Linked DNA regions of Lytechinus pictus. The protein of the gene in region 2 interacts with the protein of the main gene of each other region in a pairwise test. Links are inferred from orthologs where the notes say so. Each region holds a gene or a part of one and is shown on either strand. Other genes may lie near its edges.

Evidence for each region.
Region 1: the proteins of heterogeneous nuclear ribonucleoprotein U-like protein 1 (region 2) and protein arginine N-methyltransferase 2-like interact in a two-hybrid assay, tested with the Homo sapiens proteins (2 studies listed by BioGRID and IntAct). The link is inferred for Lytechinus pictus from reciprocal best matches to the Homo sapiens genes HNRNPUL1 and PRMT2.

What each region holds. Positions count from the first base shown.
Region 1 is NC_087245.1:21,604,144-21,614,078, forward strand, and holds the start of protein arginine N-methyltransferase 2-like, read right to left. Parts: upstream 4,614-9,935; 5' UTR 4,569-4,613; coding exon 4,401-4,568; intron 1-4,400. UniProt on the Homo sapiens protein: Arginine methyltransferase that methylates the guanidino nitrogens of arginyl residues in proteins such as STAT3, FBL, histone H4. Acts as a coactivator (with NCOA2) of the androgen receptor (AR)-mediated transactivation.
Region 2 is NC_087251.1:23,710,683-23,721,535, forward strand, and holds the start of heterogeneous nuclear ribonucleoprotein U-like protein 1, read right to left. Parts: upstream 4,705-10,853; 5' UTR 4,480-4,704; coding exon 4,167-4,479; intron 3,418-4,166; coding exon 3,157-3,417; intron 2,998-3,156; coding exon 2,892-2,997; intron 886-2,891; coding exon 818-885; intron 106-817; coding exon 1-105.

The DNA.
Region 1 (9,935 bases), on a different chromosome or scaffold from region 2:
CAGACCCCCCCCCCCATATATAAACACAATAGAAGTGTATATAGAATTAATTGACCCCCCTAGCTCCCCTATTGAGGACAAAATGAAAAAAAAAATGCTCAAAATAATCGACCGCCCCCCTTTGACGAGGCAGCTGTCGGTGGCATGATGTCTTCATTGACTCTTTTTTTTTTTTTGCTTGTAAAAAAATATTGAAGAAATAGGGGCTACTCTAAGTGTCCCCTATGAAATGAAAATCGATCTGGATCTGCAAGTGCATGGGGCTGCGCCCTCTCCAAGGTCATAGCTACCCCCATATCTTTAGGTTTTAGCTGTCATCTTTTTCAGCTCCCTGATTTTTTGGAAGAAAAAAAAACGGGGCGAAAGAAAAGAGTGAAATAAATCAAATACGATTAATCAAAATTTGATTTGTTTGAAAGAACTTATCAGAGAAACTAAATTAAATTCTACAACCATGAAGAATAACAGCAATCTTGATTAATTCTGTTTGAATTGTTTTTTTGTTTTTTTCAAAATCAGAACCAATCAACCTTTTTCTGATTATTCTGTCACTTTCCATATTTTGGAGAAAAAAATTAAGGTGTTCATCGACGCCCTGTACTGCATGATGAAACTGTATCCCCACTCGGCCCTCTTAACTCCCCCCCCCTCTCTCTCTCTCTCCCTCCCCCCCCCACCACAAAGCCCCTTGCTCATTTCTCTTATCTCACCTTGACCTTAATTAATTAATCTTAACTATCTGGCGGTACAGTCAAACGTGACTGGTCGCCATCATAGTTTCATCCCCAACAAACACGGAACAAACAATAACAACAATTCTGTTTTTCGACCCAACATCATTCCTTTCAATACGCGTAAGGCCATACGTGGGCATGCACAAACAACGTGGGTTCACAAAAACAGACCCGCGTTTGGACTGAAATTGTGATTAAAATAAAAATGTTATAAATATAAAAAAAATATTGGTATAATAAAGGATATTTGATTAACGGAAAAACATCCATCGCTAATTCATAAGAATTCTGGAAAAGATTTGAACGAGGTTTTTATCAACGGTAATCAAAAGGAATTAGTGTATGGATGAATGGCGTTCGAGCGTTAGCCGGTGAGGGCGCGGGCCAAATCTGGCAGTATGGCGTCGTCCATTAAGCTGACGTTAGCCAGCGGCGACTGCACGTACGTGACCGGGGGGGGGGGGGTACTTTGTATAAATGTATGATACGTATGTGCTGCAGTCAAAACCTAAATTTTCAGCCTAAATTTCTGTTCCAGAGCATCACACAGAAATTCCTATTTTTTTTCAGTTCATGAACTGAAAATGGTAACACAGACGTTTTTGGCTGGTGCTTTTGTACGCTCAGCGGTATTGATGGTGAATGATCAAAGAAGAACCTGATCCTCAATGTTTGTCATAATAATTCAGTATTTTCCAGCATATATTTCAGAAAAGTTGTAAAGCGATTATAGTATATGCACTAACTATTATTTTCTCTTTATTATTGCGCCCCTTTTCACCCATCAAAAGGGTGAATTGTGCTTTTACCCCAAGCTTTTTCCCTGGGGTCATATTCTGGTGACAACTTGTTTAGGGTAGGGTTTCTGGAGATTTTTTTTTTTTTTCTTATTTCATGAAAATATGACATTTTCTTTGTGAATTTGAAGAGAAATAACCTTCAGACTGACAGAAATGTAACATTTTAAAGAAAAATCCAATTATTGGCTGCAAAAAAGAAGAATGAAATTAGGTCAATTTTCAGCACTTCTCTGCCATGGACTGTGTAGTTAAGAAATGGACACACACAAATCCAAATTTTTAGCTTCTGAGGCCGAGAGCTGTTATTAATTTATTATTAATGCCAAAAACTTGTCCATAAATAGTTCAATAAGATTTTTTATGTTCTTTCTAATGGTATGATTTTTATAAAGATTTGGAAAAAAGATCACAATAAAAAATTGCGACAAAGTGAAAAAAATTGTGCAAAACAGAAATTTCATTTTCCCACAGAAAACACATGGGGAAATGCCAATCTCAACACACAAATAAGGGTTTGCAATTTATCTCTAAATCCTTATTTCAAATAATCCTATAAAATTGTCCTTACTGTCAAAAGAAGCCCCTGACTTTTCTCTTTCCATACATGCCAAACACAACTCACAAGTTAATAATCAATTCAGATCACATTTTTCTAGCACTAGTAGCAGCCTGAATTTCCGAAAAAATGTGCCATATTTTCCCCTAAATCAGCCTGTTTTATGCTGACAGTTTTCAGTGTGGCTTCAGACATGTCAGACACCCTATTTAGGGGCCAATGTGTAAATCGGTGTAAATAAAGCCCGCGAAAAACTTGTTTAGTCTAACGTTAGACTCTACTCTAGTCTTTTGTTAGGGGATCTTGAATCTTGAAGAAGTACTCTCCCAAAAGCGTACACGCTGTCCTGGAGAGGGTTGTGCTGTGTCAGGTGCTGCCAGTGCTTCAGGTGATGTGGTGATCCTGTGGTGGTATTCTTGGTGCACTATATACAGTGTGCTAGGTGCAGTGTGCGGGTGGTGCGTGTGTGTCCCTCTTACAGCATCTTAAGGGGAGGGGGAGGCAACATTTGCTGAATGATAGGCAATGTTGCTCCCCGGAAGCCAGCTATAGAGGTCGAAGTTACAGCAGCGTTTGGGAGAGTATTCCAAATACGGATGGTTCTTGGGAACATACTGTACATGTAGCAGTTCACTCTACAAAAAGGCTGGGTGTACTTGAGCTGATGTCCAGTGTGTTGTGAACGTTGTGGACGAGAACTGCTGCTTAACTTAATCTGATGTGGCATGTTGATGTAAACATAATTGTGATGAATTTTGTAGAACATCTCACATTGGCTAAGAAGGCGTCTGTGTTGGAGAGTATCCCAGTGAAGAGTTGACAACATCGATGTTACACTGGATTCTCTGCTATAGTCATGAAGGACAAACCGAGCACCCTGACGTTGAATGTTCTCAATAATGTTTACATCTTTCTGTATGTGAGGATTCCATGCACATGAAGCATACTCAAGTTGAGGTCTGACAAGTTGCTTGTACGCAATGTCTCTCACTTTCAGGTCACATTTACCCAATGCTCGACGTATGATTCCAAGAGTACGAGCAGCTTTGGAGGATATCTTCTGTGCATGGGAGTTCCAACTCAGGTTGTCTGTGATGGTCACACCGAGGTATTTACAGGAGGTTGCCGTTGGAACAGGTTGGTCACTGATGGTAAAGTTGCAAGCCAAGGGTTGTCGTTTCAATGAGATACACATGTGGGCACACTTCTTGACATTGAAGGACATATCCCACAGTTTTGCCCAATCTGATAATGTTGAAAGATCTCGCTGGAGAATTGCGTGGTCAGCTCTTGTCTTGACCTTGCGATACAGCACACAGTCATCAGCAAAGAGTCTGATTGGTGATGAGATGCATTCACAGATGTCATTGATGTACAGCAGGAATAACACAGGCCCGAGTACTGAGCCTTGCGGCACGCCTGAGAGTACACTGGCTCGTGGTGAGGATGTTCCATCAACATGAACTGACTGAGATCTGCCTGATAGAAAAGCTTTGATCCATCCATGCATTTGACCAGTAATGCCATAATACTCCAATTTGTAGAGCAGCTTCCTGTGTGATACCTTATCAAAGGCCTTACTAAAGTCAAGAAAGAAGGCGTCTGTCTGACATTGCTGGTCGATGTTGTATGCCCAGTCATTGATGGCCTCAACAAGTTGCGTTTCGCATGACAGTCCCTTCCTAAATCCATGTTGGTTTGGGTTGATGATGTTATTCTTTTCCAAGTATTTTGACATGTGGCTCAATACAATGTGCTCTTGGATCTTGCAGCAGATGCACGTGAGTGACACCGGTCTATAGTTGGCTGGGTTACTCTTGTCGCCAGACTTGTAGATGCTGGCCACTTGAGCTCTTAGCCAATCACTTGGAAGAATTCCCTCATCATAGGATTGTTGGAAGAGATGAGTAAGGACTGGGCTAATCTCATCTGCATAGTCTCTTAACATTCTAGCAGGTATTTCATCTGGACCACTGGCTTTGTTGGTGTTAAGTTCTTTCAGTTGTTTATTCACTCCTCGTAAGCTGATGAAGAGATCTTCAATTGGTGTGTACGGTGAGGGACCCTTGTCTGGTAGTCTGATATTTTGCACACGGAGAAAAAAAACTTGTTTAGGGGGTGTTTGGAAATAATTTGGTCACGCATGTGTACAGCAATACATTTGACTGCCCCCCCCCCCCCGGGCTCACATCATGCCAAACGAATAATAACACAAAATGATAAATCATGACTTACGAATCTAACCATAATCAAGATAGATAGAACATTAATTTCTTCACGTGGGACTACAGAAAGGAATTGCACTCATACCTGGCTATCGTCAATTGCACAGAAATCTGCGACAGCGGTTACGATTTCTAGCTCATAATCCTCTTCATCCCCATCATTTATGTGACTGCAATCTCCACTTTGATTTTCATTTCCATTGCAAGTTGTAAATGATGTTGAATTTCCATCCGATCTATCCCCCATTTTCATGGCATTGGGATGTCGTCTCGCTCTCGACTACTAATCGACCTCGGTGCGGCCCCATAATACCGACGCGACCGACCATCGGCCGTCTACAACAAAGGCAGCACGCCCCAATGGAATCAAATGGGGTCAAATTCAAATCTACTCTACTATCGCCGCTTCTGAACAAAACCAATATAGTAGTAGAGGAGGAATAGGTAAAGAAATTATCAAACTTCATCCTGACAACCACCACCATCATCATCAACATTATCATCGATCATCATCATCAGCAGCATCATCACCACCACCATAATGCATCATCAAATATCACCCCATATACACCACCACCACCACCACCACCACCACCACCACCACTACCATCATCACCATCATCATCATCACCTTCATCATCATCATCATCATCACCACCATCATCATCATCATCGTCATCATCATCACCATCACCATAACCATCATCATCATCATCATCATCTCATTTTCTCCGTCATCATCACCATCAACATCACCCTGCATGATCATCAGATTATGGATCACCCAACCGCGTAGCCAGGATTTCATTTTTGAGGGGGCGGTAAATGCAAGCGAAGCGTGCCAACCAACACTTACAGAGCGCGCGAAGTGCTCCTTAGGGGGTGGGTGCAGGGAGGGCTTTTGGTGTTTCATATATCGAAATGAAAAGGAGCCGTCTCTCTTGTCTCTAGTACCTATATTAGCTCCAATTCAGTTGACTATATTGTGATTTTTAACCTTGTTTTCATGAACCTTGTTTTTAAAAGTGATTGTGAACGCACAAAAAAGGAATACAATGGAGGAAATTAAAATAATAATTACCCTGCGCGAAGCGCGGAAGCTAAAGCGTTTTATCAATTTTTTTGCCATGAAAAGGGTCCCGAGAAAAGGGTATTCTCAAAGATATATTGAATACTTCCCTTGGAAAGATCAGATTTGATTACAAACAATTTAGCGACAGTGCATATCATTAACTCGCAAAACAGAGGAGAAGAAGTGTATATGCCGTGAGGAAGATATTCCTCCCCGCGCAGAGCAATGAAACTCTGAAATTTCAAAAAAAAAGGGCGGACGTTTCATCAAATGCATATATATCTAATACCACATCGGCTCTAATTCAATTGATTTTCTAAGACTATTGAACTTCATTACAAGGAAAATAGTGCGCAAAAAGTTGAAACTTCTGTGATTTATTGTAATTATACGAGAAAGGAGGCCTAATTTCTTTGACTTATCCGGAAGCGCTTGATTTTGAATTATAAAGAAACTTAAGTGTCATTCAAAATTTCAAACTGAGGGCGCAAAACAGGACAGATGAATGTGCAGGGAAATGACATGAAGTTTAATAGAATTTGATAAAAAATATTGTACCTTTTTATTTAATACGACACGAATTTTATACCTTCCTCTTTTTAAATTAGGAACCTGTTTGCCCCAAAATTATGGTTGTTTAGTAATGAGCTGAAAAGCAGGAGAAGTTGACTTTATGGAGGTGACGGCAGAAATTGATATAAAGATTTTACCCGCCCGGAGCCAACCCGACCAGAAGTTGCGCGATCAATTAAAAAAAAAAGATAACTTCATATACTTCGGCCCAACCTAACTCTTAATTCCATGCCCTAATATATACATTTGAACTTTAACTGGCAAGAAACACATATAGCTGAGGTGGAAAAACAGGGTTAGAGAAAGGGTGGGGGAAACAATGGAGAACTTCAATATTGTCATTTAACCGCGCGCAGCGCGGAAGCAAAATTCATATATAAATTTAGAGCAAGAGAAAAGGAGTTTCTCTTTTGAGAAAAAAAAAGAATAAGAAGAAAAAACAAACACAAAGCTACCTTTCCTCCCTTCCCTTTTCCTTTTCTCCTCTCTTTTTTCCCTTCTTTTTTCTTTTTGGGGACGTTTTTTTTTGGGGGGCGACCGCCCCCACCGCCCCCCTGGCTACGCGCCTGGGATCACCTCATCATCATTAACACCATTGTGAAACCGGGATCATTGATCGCATCATGGCCATCAGCAAAAGAAGTATATAGATAGAGATGCATCACGGATCACATTTCTCTGCAGCTTAACCACCCCATTTTCTCTCAGTGGACGTCAAACTTTAAGGCGACCGCACACCTTACGATTGATCTGCGACCCGATTTCAGAATAAAATGTAGTAGAATTTGATGCTAATATTGAGACTTGAAATATCTTACTGCGTAATGTTCTAAATCATCATACGAATACCTATGTTCAATTCTGTGACTATGCTATCATCCTTCTTAGTTCTTAGAATAAAAGCGAATTTAATATCTAGTCGTAATGACGTAATAGCAGTCGTACGATTGGCTACGATTTGAAACTAATTTGGCCTTCACTCCAAAATAAAGGCTTGCAATCTTTCAAAATGGTTATATCAGTATTCTTTTAATTAATTTTAACCTCAAATAAAATGATATGTTCCATTCACATTTTCAGAAAATGAGCAAAATGCGATTTGTTCCAAAATCGGATCGCGAACAGTCGTAAAGCCCCTTTCACAATTGACGTACGACCACTTGCGACCTTTTGGTCGTGCGACAGGCTGCAACAGGCATCAATCGCCAGTCATCTCATAATATCGCACAGAGGCTTTCACAGTTGCAACAGCTGTCGTACAACAAAAACAATCAGTAAAACCCGTTGCACGAGTAAGTCGCTTATGATCCTATTGTGCTCGTGCGATCACATGCGAGTGTTGCACGAGGGATTGCGAGGGGAACGGTCGCACACAACGGTAGTGCAATGTTGTAAGCCGTTGCGATCGGTCTTGCAACAGTCTTATGGCCATCATATTATCGCACCCAGTCGCAAGACAGGTCTCTGTACATGTAGGTCGCTAGCACATGTGCAAGTGTTGTACGACCTCCAGTCGAGTAAATGCGACTACTTAGTTGTGCCACCTCTCGCACCAAGTCGTGCAACGTTGAACAACACTCCCACGATGATCGCCCGACCGATGGTACGACCCCGGATACGAGCTGATGCGAGTGAATCGGTCGTATTTGATCGCGTTCGGATTTTGAACATGTTCAAAGTTCAGATGTGACCAGTCACGACCACCTCGAGTTCGTGCGACCGTCTACAACCACTGCGAGTGCTCGCAAGACACCAAGAGATCGATCGTGCAACAACAAGAAAAAACTGTTGCAGGTGGTCGTAAACAGGTCGTACGTCAATTGTGAAAGGGGCTTAAGGTGTGCGGTGGCCTTTAGGCGCTGCCTATATATGCCTACCGTAAAATGTCCATCTGCGCAATGGCTCCATGATCTAAGTCCCGTTATACACAAAGGTTAGCGATTAATCGTACGCTTGATTTTCACGATTGATTGTAGGCTACATTGTAGTCAATGCAATCGATCGTAGCAAATTCATTGCTAATCTTTGTGTTACAGGCCCCTGATTGTGATTTTATATTCAGTTATAAGTGAATAGGCCTATCAAAAATTAATAATACAAAAAAACTTGTTCACTTTACGTAGACAAATATCCAATTAAAAGATGGATGGTTGCAAATACCGACAATCCACAGATGGACTAATGAAGGAACTTTATGACCATATTGAATTATCATACATCAAGAAAATATTAACTCATAGGATTCACCCGCTTAAGATTAACCATACATAATTAATATGTCTTCCTCGGGACCCTCTGAAATAATTTGATTATGGATCATGAAGATAATAATTCTATAAAACATGTAGATTTCGATAGAAACTGCAAAACGTATCATTCACGATCCGTGCATCCAACAAACAAATATTAAGCCTGTCCTCATCCATTTTGTTTTCCATCCTGATTTATAACAGGCGCGTAGCCAGGGGGGGGCGGTGGGGGCGGTCGTCCCCAAAAAAAAACGTCCCCAAAAAGAAAAAAAAGAGAAGGGAAAAAAGAGAGGAGAAAAGGAAAAGGGAAGGGAGGAAAGGGAAGAAAGGTAGCTTTTTTTTTTTTTTTTTTTTTTTTTTTTTTCTCAAAAGAGAAACTCCTTCACTCTTGCTTTAGATTTATATATGAATTTTGCTTCCGCGCTGCGCGTGGTTAAATGACAATATTGAAGATCTCCATTGTTCTCCCCACCCTTTCTCTAACCCTGTTTTTCCACCTCAGCTATATGTGTTTCTTGCCAGTTAAAGTTCAAATGCATACATTAGGGCATGGAATTAGAGTAAGGTTTAATAGGCCGAAGTATATGAAGTTATCTTTTTTTTTAATTGATCGCGCAACTTCTGGTCGGGTCGGCTCCGGGCGGGTGAAATCTTTATATCAATTTCTGCCGTCACCTCCATGAAGTCAACTTCTCCCGCTTTTCAGCTCATTACTAAACAACCATAAGTTTTGGGGCAAACAGGTTCCTAATTTAAAAAGAGGAAGGTATAAAATTCGTATCGTATTAAATAAAAAAGTACAATATTTTTTATCAAATTCTATTAAACTTCATGTCATTTCCCTGCACATTCATCTCCTGTCCTGTTTTGCGCCCTCAGTTTGAAATTTTGAATGACACTAAAGTTTCTTTATAATTCAAAATGAAGCGCTTCAGGATAAGTCAAAGAAATTAAGTATCCTTTTTATATAATTTCAATAAATCACAGAAGTTTCAACTTTTTGCGCACTATTTTCCTTGTAATGAAGTTCAATAATCTTAGAAAATTAATTGAATTAGAGCCGATGGGGTATTGGAGATATCCGCATTTGATGAAACGTCCGCCCTTTGAAATTTCAGAGTTTCGTTGTTCTGCGCGGGGAGGAATATCTTCCTCCCGGCATATACACTTCTTCTCCTCTGTTTTGCGAGTTAAAGATATTCACTGTCGCTAAATTGTTTGTAATCAAATCTGATCTTTCCAAGGGAAGTATTCAATATGTGTTTGAGAATACCCTTTTCTCGGGACCATTTTCATTCAAAAAAAATTAATAAAACGCTTTAGTTTCCGTGCTTCGCGCGGGGTTATTATCATTTTCATTTCCTCCATTGTATTCCTTTTTTGTGCGTTCACAATCTTGTTTTAAAACAAGGTTCAAAATCACAATATAGTCAACTGAATTGGAGCTGATATATAGGTACTAGAGACAAGAGAGACGGCTCCTTTTCATTTTAATTTATGAAACACCAAAAGCTTCGCGCTTCGCGCGGGAGGGGGAAACTCCCCCTCCCTGCACCCACCCCCTAGGGCGCGCGCTCTGTAAGTGTTGGCACGCTTTGCGTGCATTTACCGCCCCCTCCAAAATGAAATCCTGGCTACGCGGTTGACTTATAACCATAACTAAATTTACATTTTTTATGAATTAGTATTTTGTATGACTATTGTTAGAGATTTCGAATACAAAGAT
Region 2 (10,853 bases):
CGTGTGTAGCCTTGACTCCACCCCACATGTATGCGAACCCTTCCATGCTGAGGGGACATGCATTATAGCCATCTTTGCCAATTTTTAGATTCAAGTCAGAAAGGTCTATAGAGAAAAAAGAAATATATTCATAGAAGAAAAGAATAGTCACAATTTTGTTCCTTATCACATCCCATGTTGTAATTTGACCAAAATTGTTTAATAAAAACATACTACTGTCATTCAATCAGACCAAATCTGATTTCCAAGTTGCTTGGAAAGTCCCCTTGGTCATATCTAATATGCCATTACATGATTATAAGAATCTGATAAGATCATTACATCACAATTCTCAGATAGCTACACTAGTTCAGTTTCTTCATGGTTGTAAGTGCTCAATCAGAAGCAGAACTGGCAGTGTATGTTTCATCACAGAATTACAAACGTTAACATGTGAAAAAATAGTGACAAATATTTACGCCAGAATGAAATATGCAGAGTGATGCTAATTCAAATTTACTTGACTAAAAAGATAGATCACCATTATCTAACAAGGTCAATGCCCTTCCTAAATGTATGCACGACCCAGAGTTTGAAGCTAGATTACAGGGATGCATCTTTTCTTCATTTAGGTTATCCATGAAACAGTTGACTTGTAGCAATAAGTTAATCTGAAAAAATGCCCCTGGTAACCACCTACAAAAGGTGGAAGAACAATAACACTTCACCTATTCCCATGAATGCATGGAATAAATCAGAAGCAAAACTTAGATTTCACATTCCATAGGATACATACGGTACATGTATTTAGCAGTCATCCAAATCCCAATGAACTTACATTTGCTGAGCACACACTGTGTATCTGGTATATCATCATCTTCTTCCATAACCACAGGAGGGGGTGTTCTGAAGGTAAGAAGGATAAAGTTGGTTGCAATTGTATATTACACTAAATGCAGTATCTTTGTGAACTCATAACACAAATCATTTTTAGACATTGGTACACATACGCTAAACTTGCTTCCTGCTTTGAAATTCATGCATTTTCACTTCCTGCATTGAATGGGGAATTCCCCATTCCATAACATTGTGGATTAAGCAAGCTGGTACTCGTCTGAAATCGAGCAAAAGCAGTTACCAAAATTTTCAACAAATGATTCTGAAATGCAGACCTTCATTTTTGAGGAGCGCGATCGCGCCGGCGCTCCTACCGCGCTCCTTAAAAAAAATAAGGATAGCAAAAAATCGCGCTCCTAAAAAAAAAATTTTTTTAATGAAGAAAAAAAATTGCTAAAATTTCACATCTTTAAATCTATGAAATGGTCTTCTTTTTTCCATAATTCCTTGAAATTACTTTGATTTAGTTGAAAACTATCAGAAAAATTAAGAATATTCATCTCTTTCCCGACTCTGATTTTAATTTAAACTCGGTAAATATTTGCAGTCCCATATGTAGATTTTCATGGCAGCACCATGAAAGTCTACATGTGGGACTACAATATTTACTGAGGTAAGTTCAAATCAGAGTCGGGAAAGAGGTGAATATTCTTCATTTTTCTGATAGTTTTCAACTAAATCAAAGTAATTTCAAGGTATTATGGAAAAAAGAAGGCCATTTCATGGATTTAAAGATGTAAAATGTAAAATTTTAGCAATTTTTTTTTTCAATTTTTTTTTTTTTTCAATTTTTTTTTTGCAGTAGCGCATACGACATCTTGTAAACGTATTGACGTGACCCAGGCCTAGTTTCACCACAGATTAATTAATAGCTAACACAGCTACTGCATATATACAATGTTAAGAAAAATCTACAATTTATCATACATGTATTGTAATGAATTGATTTGAGCTCCTCACGGAGAGCGATTCTGAGGAGCTCAATTGAGCTCCTCAGAAAAATAAGGAGAGCGATTTATTGAGCTCCATGAAATTATAAACGTGAAGGACTGTAAATGATTAGGGAACTATGTATGATGCCAAACTAAGGCCGAATTACATGTTCATCAAAAGAAAAACAAAATCAATTAAAACCTGTAAGTTAAAGTTTTTTCTAAATTCATTGTAATTAGAATGGTAATTTAAGAGAAAGAGTATCACATCAAATTTCTTTCGAAAAAGATGGAAGATTGCATTTTTGTTCAAGTCTACTTCTCAGGCACAATACACCCATTTGAGCATGTGGGTACAAAGCCACACTTTTTGGATGGTTTTATGTACATCCTTGTCAAGTACAAGCAGAACCAATTGAACTGTTGATATCCCCCCCCCCCCTCCTTTTTTTTTTTACAGTTGAACAATTTAAAATACCCAAATAAAGATAAAAATCAGCCAAATCTGCACTTAAAAGTAAATTTTTCATGCAAGAGGCCATCTTGGAATCCCACATCTAACCATCCAATGTCAAACTTCTTTGTTTGGGGGGTGGGTACAACACAAAAAATATATAAATATACATATTTTGTTACCATAAATTTAACTGGGATGAAACACAGTAAGATTTTATTTATATTTGTAAATAGAACTTGAAAGAACCAGATGTTTTTCTTTCACAGCAAACTTCATTTACAGAAACAAAATTTAATTTTGATTGTCCTCAACCCCCCCCCCCCCCCCATCTGAGGATGTAACACCATCCAAAGTATGTGACTTTGTCCCACATGCTCAAATTGGTGTGTTGTATATCTTTCTTGTAATGATAATGAAAATGTAAAAAATAAAACAATGCCCTATGGCAAAAATGAAAATCCACTGAAAAAATTACAAATGTGTAACAGTATAATGCCTCAGAAAGTAACACTAGTTCAGTTTCTTCATAAATTTGAGTGCTCAATCAGAAGCAGAACTGGCAGTGTAAGAATCATCACAGGACATGTTAAGTAACTTGTTTACAAGTCTTTATTACTCGCACCCACCTTCTCCTGGGAGATCTATCTCTGCCTCCAAATCGGCGATCACGGTTCCTGTTCTCATAGTCGCGTTTCCTTTCTTTATCCTTGTCACCTTCTTCTTTCTTGTCCCCTATAAATTACAAAAATTCAAACATTTATGGTACTTTATTACACTTGACACAAACACAATTGCAAATGTGTAAGAAAATAGAAATCTTGAATACACTTTTTTTGTCATAGAAAAGGAAAATGGGAAACATGCTATTCTCAGAGCGTGTATTTTCCTTACCATCCCCAGACTGCTCTTTATTTTCACCTTCCTTCTCTTCTGTTTGTGGTTGGGCTTCTTGCTCCATGCTTTCTGGTGGCTGTTCAACTTGCCCCTGCTCATCCGTTGCTTCTGGTTCAGCTTCTGTAACTTGAGGCATGGCATCCTCCTCTTGCACCATAGCTTCTTCTTGTGGTTCTGGCTGGACTTCTGCTTCCGGTTCCTCCATAGCTGGAGGAATTTCCAAGTCTGCCAAGAGTTGGTCATCTCCACCCTCTTCACCTGAAATGAGAGAAAATGTTCTGGTCAAAATACAAAGTGATTAAAGGTTTTTTGCACTGGTATGATGGGCCCCTTCAACTTTTTACACCTTCTGCTTGCCAGATGTTTACGCCGCCATCTTGTTTCCTATTGTTCTTCGCCAACGTTACGGTCGCGTGCGTTGCGTAACATTGGCGAAGAACAATAGGAAACAAGATTTTCACAATATTTTTCTCATTTTTTTGATGAATTCTTGTTTAAAAATAACGAGAGCGTAGAAATGTCGGAAATGAAGTTTTATCCCATGTAGGCCCTACATGATTTAGGGCTAACCTTTTAGGCCTAGATATTTTAGAAGTAGAAATCTCGGGGATGAAAGTTTCAGGTTTTGGGGTCCTTCGTGTAGGTGAATGAGAAGACCTGGCTTCATTGAGACTGAGAGTAAGCCTACGTTAGTAAATGATTTTTACTCTCAAGAAGCCGCCTGGCTACTCTGGCCTAGAATTATACTCCATTATTTATTTCATAACATGCATCATGCATTGCATGCATCGTTGCAAGCCAAATATCCGAATGAATTTAATGGGAATTATTTAATGTAATTAATGGGAATGTAATTAATAATGGGAACTTCAAGTTCAACTTCACTTTATTTTACTTAGTCTTGGATAGGCCTAATTCATAAATTGGAGTGAAGATGGCCTATGATGGACAAGACTTTTCTTGGCCATGCATGCCTTGGCTTTTTTGGGCTGGCCGAATTCACGAACCTGCTTGCAAGAGATCATCTGCTTCTTGGCTGGTTCCATCCTGATCCCCTGAAAATCCAAACTCATCGCCAAATCCTTGCTCTGCTTCTGGTAGTGCTTCTTGTGCTAGTTCTACAACATCTTCGTCAAAATTGTCATCTTCGTCTGCTTCCGCGGGTTCGTTCTCATTCCCCACTTCCTCGGCTTCGGCAAGCAAAGCATTCTCAAGTCGATCAACAAGGACAGCTTTCACTCCCTTTGAATCGAGTCCACGCGCTTGCAGTTCCGCGCGAAGCTCCGCGACCTTCAACTTGGATGGTTCAATCTCACTCATTTTGTCACCTTTGATTTCTCTTAACAGACTCTATGTATGCAGGTTAAATAACAGAACTATAATATAATAAATTCTAAACCTATGACGACTAAATTAATTTAATTCAAAGTAAAAGGTTGGCAGCACCATACTCCTAGAACGGAGTCCTTGCACACAAACGCAGAGTTCTGTCGAGAACGCATGCACACGTAACGCCTGATGAACTGTACTAAAGAAATGTCATCTGATTGGATATCTGATTTATTTATTTATTGAATCATTTTTCTGAAAAATTGTTTTGATTCATAAAATTTCATAAATATCACTTTATTGAATGATTTTATTGTTACAAGTTGTTATTAGATCATTTAAATATCATTTTATACTCTAACAAACATTTTTATTTGATTTATCACAGCACAGTATCGAATTGAAAGCATCCAATCAGCGGTCGTTTTACGAAAACCCACTCTATATCATATGGCGTGGCGTGATGACCCACTCTTTATTATGTCGCCGCGTTGAATTCTGGGATCTGGATCGGAGCTAGCAAGCGAAGAATGAGCGAATCATACCAGGATAAGTAAATGCAGAGGCCGTGGAAGCGGGGCGGGAAAAAACGCGTGCTCAATGAATTTTGAAACATTATTCTATTTTTTCTTCATCCCCCCAAAACGTAAAAAAATATGATTGTGATTTTTTTTTAACCGTCCCGCGGCCCCTGATCTCTATATGGACATATCAGTGAAGGGAAAAAACGCGTGCTCAATAAATTCTGAAACATTATTCTATTTTTTCCTCATCTTTTCCTTTTTATAGTTTTCCAACAACTCCTATGTATTTTTCTGATTCTATTTTTATCTCTCTCTCTCTCTTTAAATATATATCCTTGTTTTAATATTTCCATCAATGCTTCTATCAATTCTCATATGTATATTTTGTTTTCTCCTTCCGCTTTCGTTTTTATGAATTTTTATGTATTTCTATAAGTTTTAATTCTTCTTTCACTCTCTTTTCTATCACGTACAGTGGCGTAACTACGGGGGGGCATGGGGGGGCACGTGCCCCCCAATCGGCTGACCAAAAAAAAAAAAAAAAAAAAAAAAAAACGGGGAAAAGGAGAAAAAGAGGGAGAAAGAAAGAGAAACGTATAGTGGGAAAAAAGACATTATTGTTCATTATAATGTTATATTATTTCATAATAATATGTTATGTTATATTACATAAGAAACATTTTTCATAACTTAATGAAACATAATTTGCTCAGGGCCTATGTTTTCATTGCTCCTGAAGCTCGCATTGTCTGTTTACCGAGATATATAACCCTGATAAAAAACCTCCCGTTTTCAAGTCAATATATACCAAACTGCCAAATATATTTCCTCGCACTTCGAGTTATTGTTTTATGTACAAGTATGCTTCTTTTTCATGACTAAAGTGATTGCCCCATTTTAAGGTCTTAATATAAAACATTTCCTGTCCGTGCTTACGTTAGCAGTAGCGGATTGGTGAAATATGTCTGCTCTCAATGAATTCCTAGAATCAGTCCTTAAAATGTTCCTTTTTCTGATCTGAATATCAAAAAATTTCACCTCGCGCTTCGCGCTCGCACCGTTTGGTTAGTGAACTACGTATGGTCTTCGTGAATTCCTACAAACAAGCCTTAAAATGCCCCTCTTCAGGTCTGAATTTCCTAAATTTTCAGCTCGCGCTTCGCGCTCGCAAGATTTGATTAGTGAGATGGGTATGTTAATCATGATTACAAGTGCTTTATGTGCATATGTTTAGATGTAATTCTAACAAAATCAGCAAGCGCTTATTGGCACTCGCATTAGATGACTATGGTGAGATGTGTATACTCTTAACGGATTCCTAAAATATAGTCCTTAAAATCTTCCCGTTTGGGGTCAATATTTACAAAAATTTCAGCTCGCGCTTCACGCTCGCATTATTTAGCGAGACAGGTACGTATCATGATTACAAAAGAATTTTATAATGTCCTTTTTTAGGTCTGAATATCAAAAATTTTAAGCTCGCGCTTCGCGCTCGCATTATTTGACCAGTGAGATACATATCCGTTTAATGGCACTGTCCTTAAAATGTCTCTATTAGGTCAGTATACCTGGCAACTGGGCGCGCTGCGCTCACTAAGTGACTCAAAATTTTTGCTCGTGCCCCCCCAATGCCGTGACCCACGGTACGCCACTGATCACGTAAATAAACAAATTAAAAAAAAGTAAACATTTTTATGATATATTGGTGGCAGAAAGATATGAGCGTCCAGTAAATACGTTTAGACTTATGTTTCTTCTGTAAGGTAATGCAGAAAATGAAACGATCGAACATTCATTTTGGAATTGTCCATTTACAGATTTTTCATTTTGAACGGAAAAAGTGTAATGGGTGCGTTATCAAAAAATATTCTCTTTTTCATCCTTTTCTAGTTATTGCAAAGAAATCTATTTATCTTAGATGAAAATCATGTACACCAACAGTTTCTGTGATTGTGTTTATTTGTTAACTAGATCGATCGTATAAAATGGAAACATTTACAGCTATTCGAAATAACAAAAGGAGTGTCCACGAACGCAGATGGCGAGACATGAATTGATACAGTGGTTATCCATATGCACTTATATGCTACGTAACTGTTATGTAATTTCTTATGATGTATCATTTGTACTTGTTCAACTCTATTGAATTGAATGTACCTTGAAGTGACCAATAAAACATCATTTTAATACCAAAAAAAACAGCGGCACAAAAAATGAAAGAAAAAAAAAGAGGAGAGAAAAGTGGGCAAGCGGAGGGGAAGAAAAGGGAATAGGTATAATATAAAATAAAATAAGAGGAGGAAGACAAGTGAATGAAACGTGAGGGGAAGACCTGGAAAATATAAATTCTTCCATATCATACATTTTTCGCTAGGTCGGTGCTCCCTGGCATTGCCTGTTCATCTTGCGTAAGAACATTATTATAATGGAGTTTAAAATACTGCACAGTATTATCAGTGGCGTATCTAGGACAAACGGCGCCCGGGGCAAGCGCTAAAATCGCGCCTCTTGAGTGTATTATACACTCGACCGGTCAGTGCGAGAGTGAATATTTTTTCAATATCAAGACGGAATATTATAAGTTTTTTTATTTTCATGAAAATTGTGTGTATCTAATTATCGTAAACAATGAATGCGAGCGCTAAGCACGAGCTGAAAAATATTGATATTCAGACCTGAAAAGGGAACATGTAAAAAGACCCTTTTTAGAAAAGAGATGATAGGTATATCTCTGTAAATAAATCGACCTAATACGAGGGCGAAGCGCGAGCCTATTTTGTAATCATTAACATGATGCATATCTAAACATGCTAAACAAGTAATGCGAGCGCGAGCTGAATATGATTGATATCGAGACCGGCAGTCGGGACATTTTAGGGAGAAATAATCTCACGATAACTAAGCAATTATATAATGCAAGCAGGATGGGTAAGCTGAAATTTGTAGGAATTCATGAGAAGTATAATATCTGATCGGCGTAATATATATATCTTCAGCGCATTGATTTCTTTGTGGTGAGTTTCACAATCCGTATGCCCATGAACAGACGTGTTTTTCACGACTGTTTCAGAAACGGATTTTGAATTCGCTTTTTTTTTTGTCACATCATGGGCACTGACGAAGAGTGTGACTTTACCTTTCATTTTTGAGAGCTATGCTCCTTTTAAAATCTACGATTTTATTTCTACGGCATTTTCTAAACCATTTGTGATTATATATATATATATATATGTATATATTTATTTATTTATTTATTTATTTATGTCCTCACCTAAAAAGGGTCGAAGGTCGTTTTAATGAATGTTTGTAAACTTAATGAAGAGGATTTGTATCTCCCTTTTAGTCAAATCAGCACGTGGTGAAACGCTTTGACAATTGAATCAGAAAATGTGTTTTTCAGAACTGTTTGTAAGAATAAAATGAAGAATAATGTAACAAAATGCAAACCCGCAAATAGACTAGATGAAAAGTTATGACATTTGCGTTTGAAAAGGAATTTTTTTGTAAGGAGTATTGGAATTCTTGAAGAGAGTATATATATCACTAATCAAAAGTTGGCACGAATTCATCCCTGGGTAAAGACATGCAAGATTGATTTTCTAAATGTGTTGGAAACTGCATTACCATGGTAATAGCATGGGACGGGGGTATTAATCACCTTCAGTGGTTTTCCTTTTCTGCGCCTTAATTTATTCCTTTTCTTTTTCTCTTCATTTTTTGTTTTCCTTTTCTTTATTTGCGCCCCCTGAAAATGGTGCCCGGGGCACGTGCCCCCTTGCCCCCCCCCCCCCCCCCGCTAGATACGTCAATTACAATTTTATAACAGATTAAGCAAACAACAGGTGTAAATTAATAATAAATCACACAACAGCAACATGAGTCGAGTCAGCACATGTACCGAACACGTAGGGCTGCTATAGTAGAATGACGAAAATATATGACGAAATGATGATTGGCCGAGATGGCAATTGGACCTATTGGTGATTAGACCAAATGGCAATTAAATGGCAATTAGAAATGATTGTTAGACGAAATGGGTTTAGACTAAGTGACAGAGGACCAACTGCAGTTAGACCAAATGGAATAGACAGTGGCGTACCGTGGGTCACGGCATTGGGGGGGGGGGCACCAGCAAAAATTATGAGTCACTTATAGAGCGCGCGAAGCTCGCTCAGTTGCTAGGTATACTGACATAATAGGGACATTTAAAGGACAGTGTCATTAAACGGATATGTATCTCACTGATCACATAATGCGAGCGCGAAGCGCGAGCTGAAATTTTTGTATATATTGACCCCAAACGGACATTTTAAGGACAATATTTTAGGAATGCATTAATTAAGAGTATACATATCTCACCATAGTCATCTAATGCGAGTACAAAGCGCTTGCTGATATTGTTAGAATAATATACATCTAAACACATGAAGCACTTGTAGTCATTGTAATCATAATTAACATACGCATCTCACTAATCAAATATTGCGAGCGCGAAGCGCGAGCTGAAAATTTAGGAAAGTCAGACCTGAAGAGGGATATTTCAAGGCTTGTTTGTAGGAATTCACGTAGATCATATGTAGTTCACTAACCAAATGATGCGAACGCGAAGCGCGAGCTGAAATTTTTGTATATATTGACCCAAAAGAGGGATAAGGACTATTTATTTTTTTAAAGGATTCCATTAAGAGTACAGATATCTCACCATAGTCATCTAATGCGAGTGCCAAGCGAATGCTGATTTTGTTAGAATTCACGTAGACCATGCGTATTTCACTAACCAAATGATGCGAGCGCGAAGCGCAAGCTGAAATTTTTTACATTCAGATCAGAAAAAGGGACATTTTAAGGACTGATTTTAGAAAATTCATGAAGAACAGACATATCTCACCAATCCACGAATGCGAACGTAAGTACGGACAGGAAATGGTTTATATTAAGACCTTAAAATCGGGCAATCACTTTAAGTAGTCATGAAAAAAAAAGTATATGTCACTACATAAAACAATAATAATTCGAAGTCTAAGAAAATATATTTGGTGTATATTGACTTGAAAACGGGAGGTTTTAGTACAAGAAGATTATATATATTGTTAAACAGGCAATGCGAGCACCAGGAAAAATGAAGACTAGGCCCTGTGCAAATTATGTTTCATAAAGTTATAATTTATTTATGTAATATAACATAAGATAATCATAATATAATATACCATTATAATTAACAATAATTTCTTCTTTCCCACTACGTTTCTTTCCCTTTCTCCCTCTTTTTCTCCTTTTCCCCGTTTTTTTTTTTTTGGCCAGCCGATTGGGGGGGGGGGGGCACGTGCTCCCCATGCCCCCCCGTAGTTACGCCACTGGGAATAGATGAAATAAAAGTAGACTAAGTGGATTAGACCATTTGCCTTTAGACCAGTTGGCTATCGTGGAGCGTTGTGGCCTATAAAAGTGGATTAGTCTTCGGACTTTGAAACAGAGGGTCGTGGGTTCGAATCCCAGCCATGGCGTAATTTCCTTCGGCAAGAAATTCATCCACATTGTGCTGCACTCGACCCAGGTGAGGTGAATGGGTACCCGGCAGGATTTATTCCTTGAACGCTTTATCGCCTATTAATATGGCGGCTTAGTTATCATAATATTATACCAAGTATCAAAGCGCAGTTGAGTATATGCACATAGTAACTGCGCTATATAAATGGACATATTAGTATTATTATTATTATTATTGGACTAAATGGTAATAGACGTAATAAAAATGGACAAAGTGGCTATTGGGCCAATTGGCAAAAATGCAATAGACCAAATGGCTATTAGACCAATCGATAATAGACGAAATGGTTATTA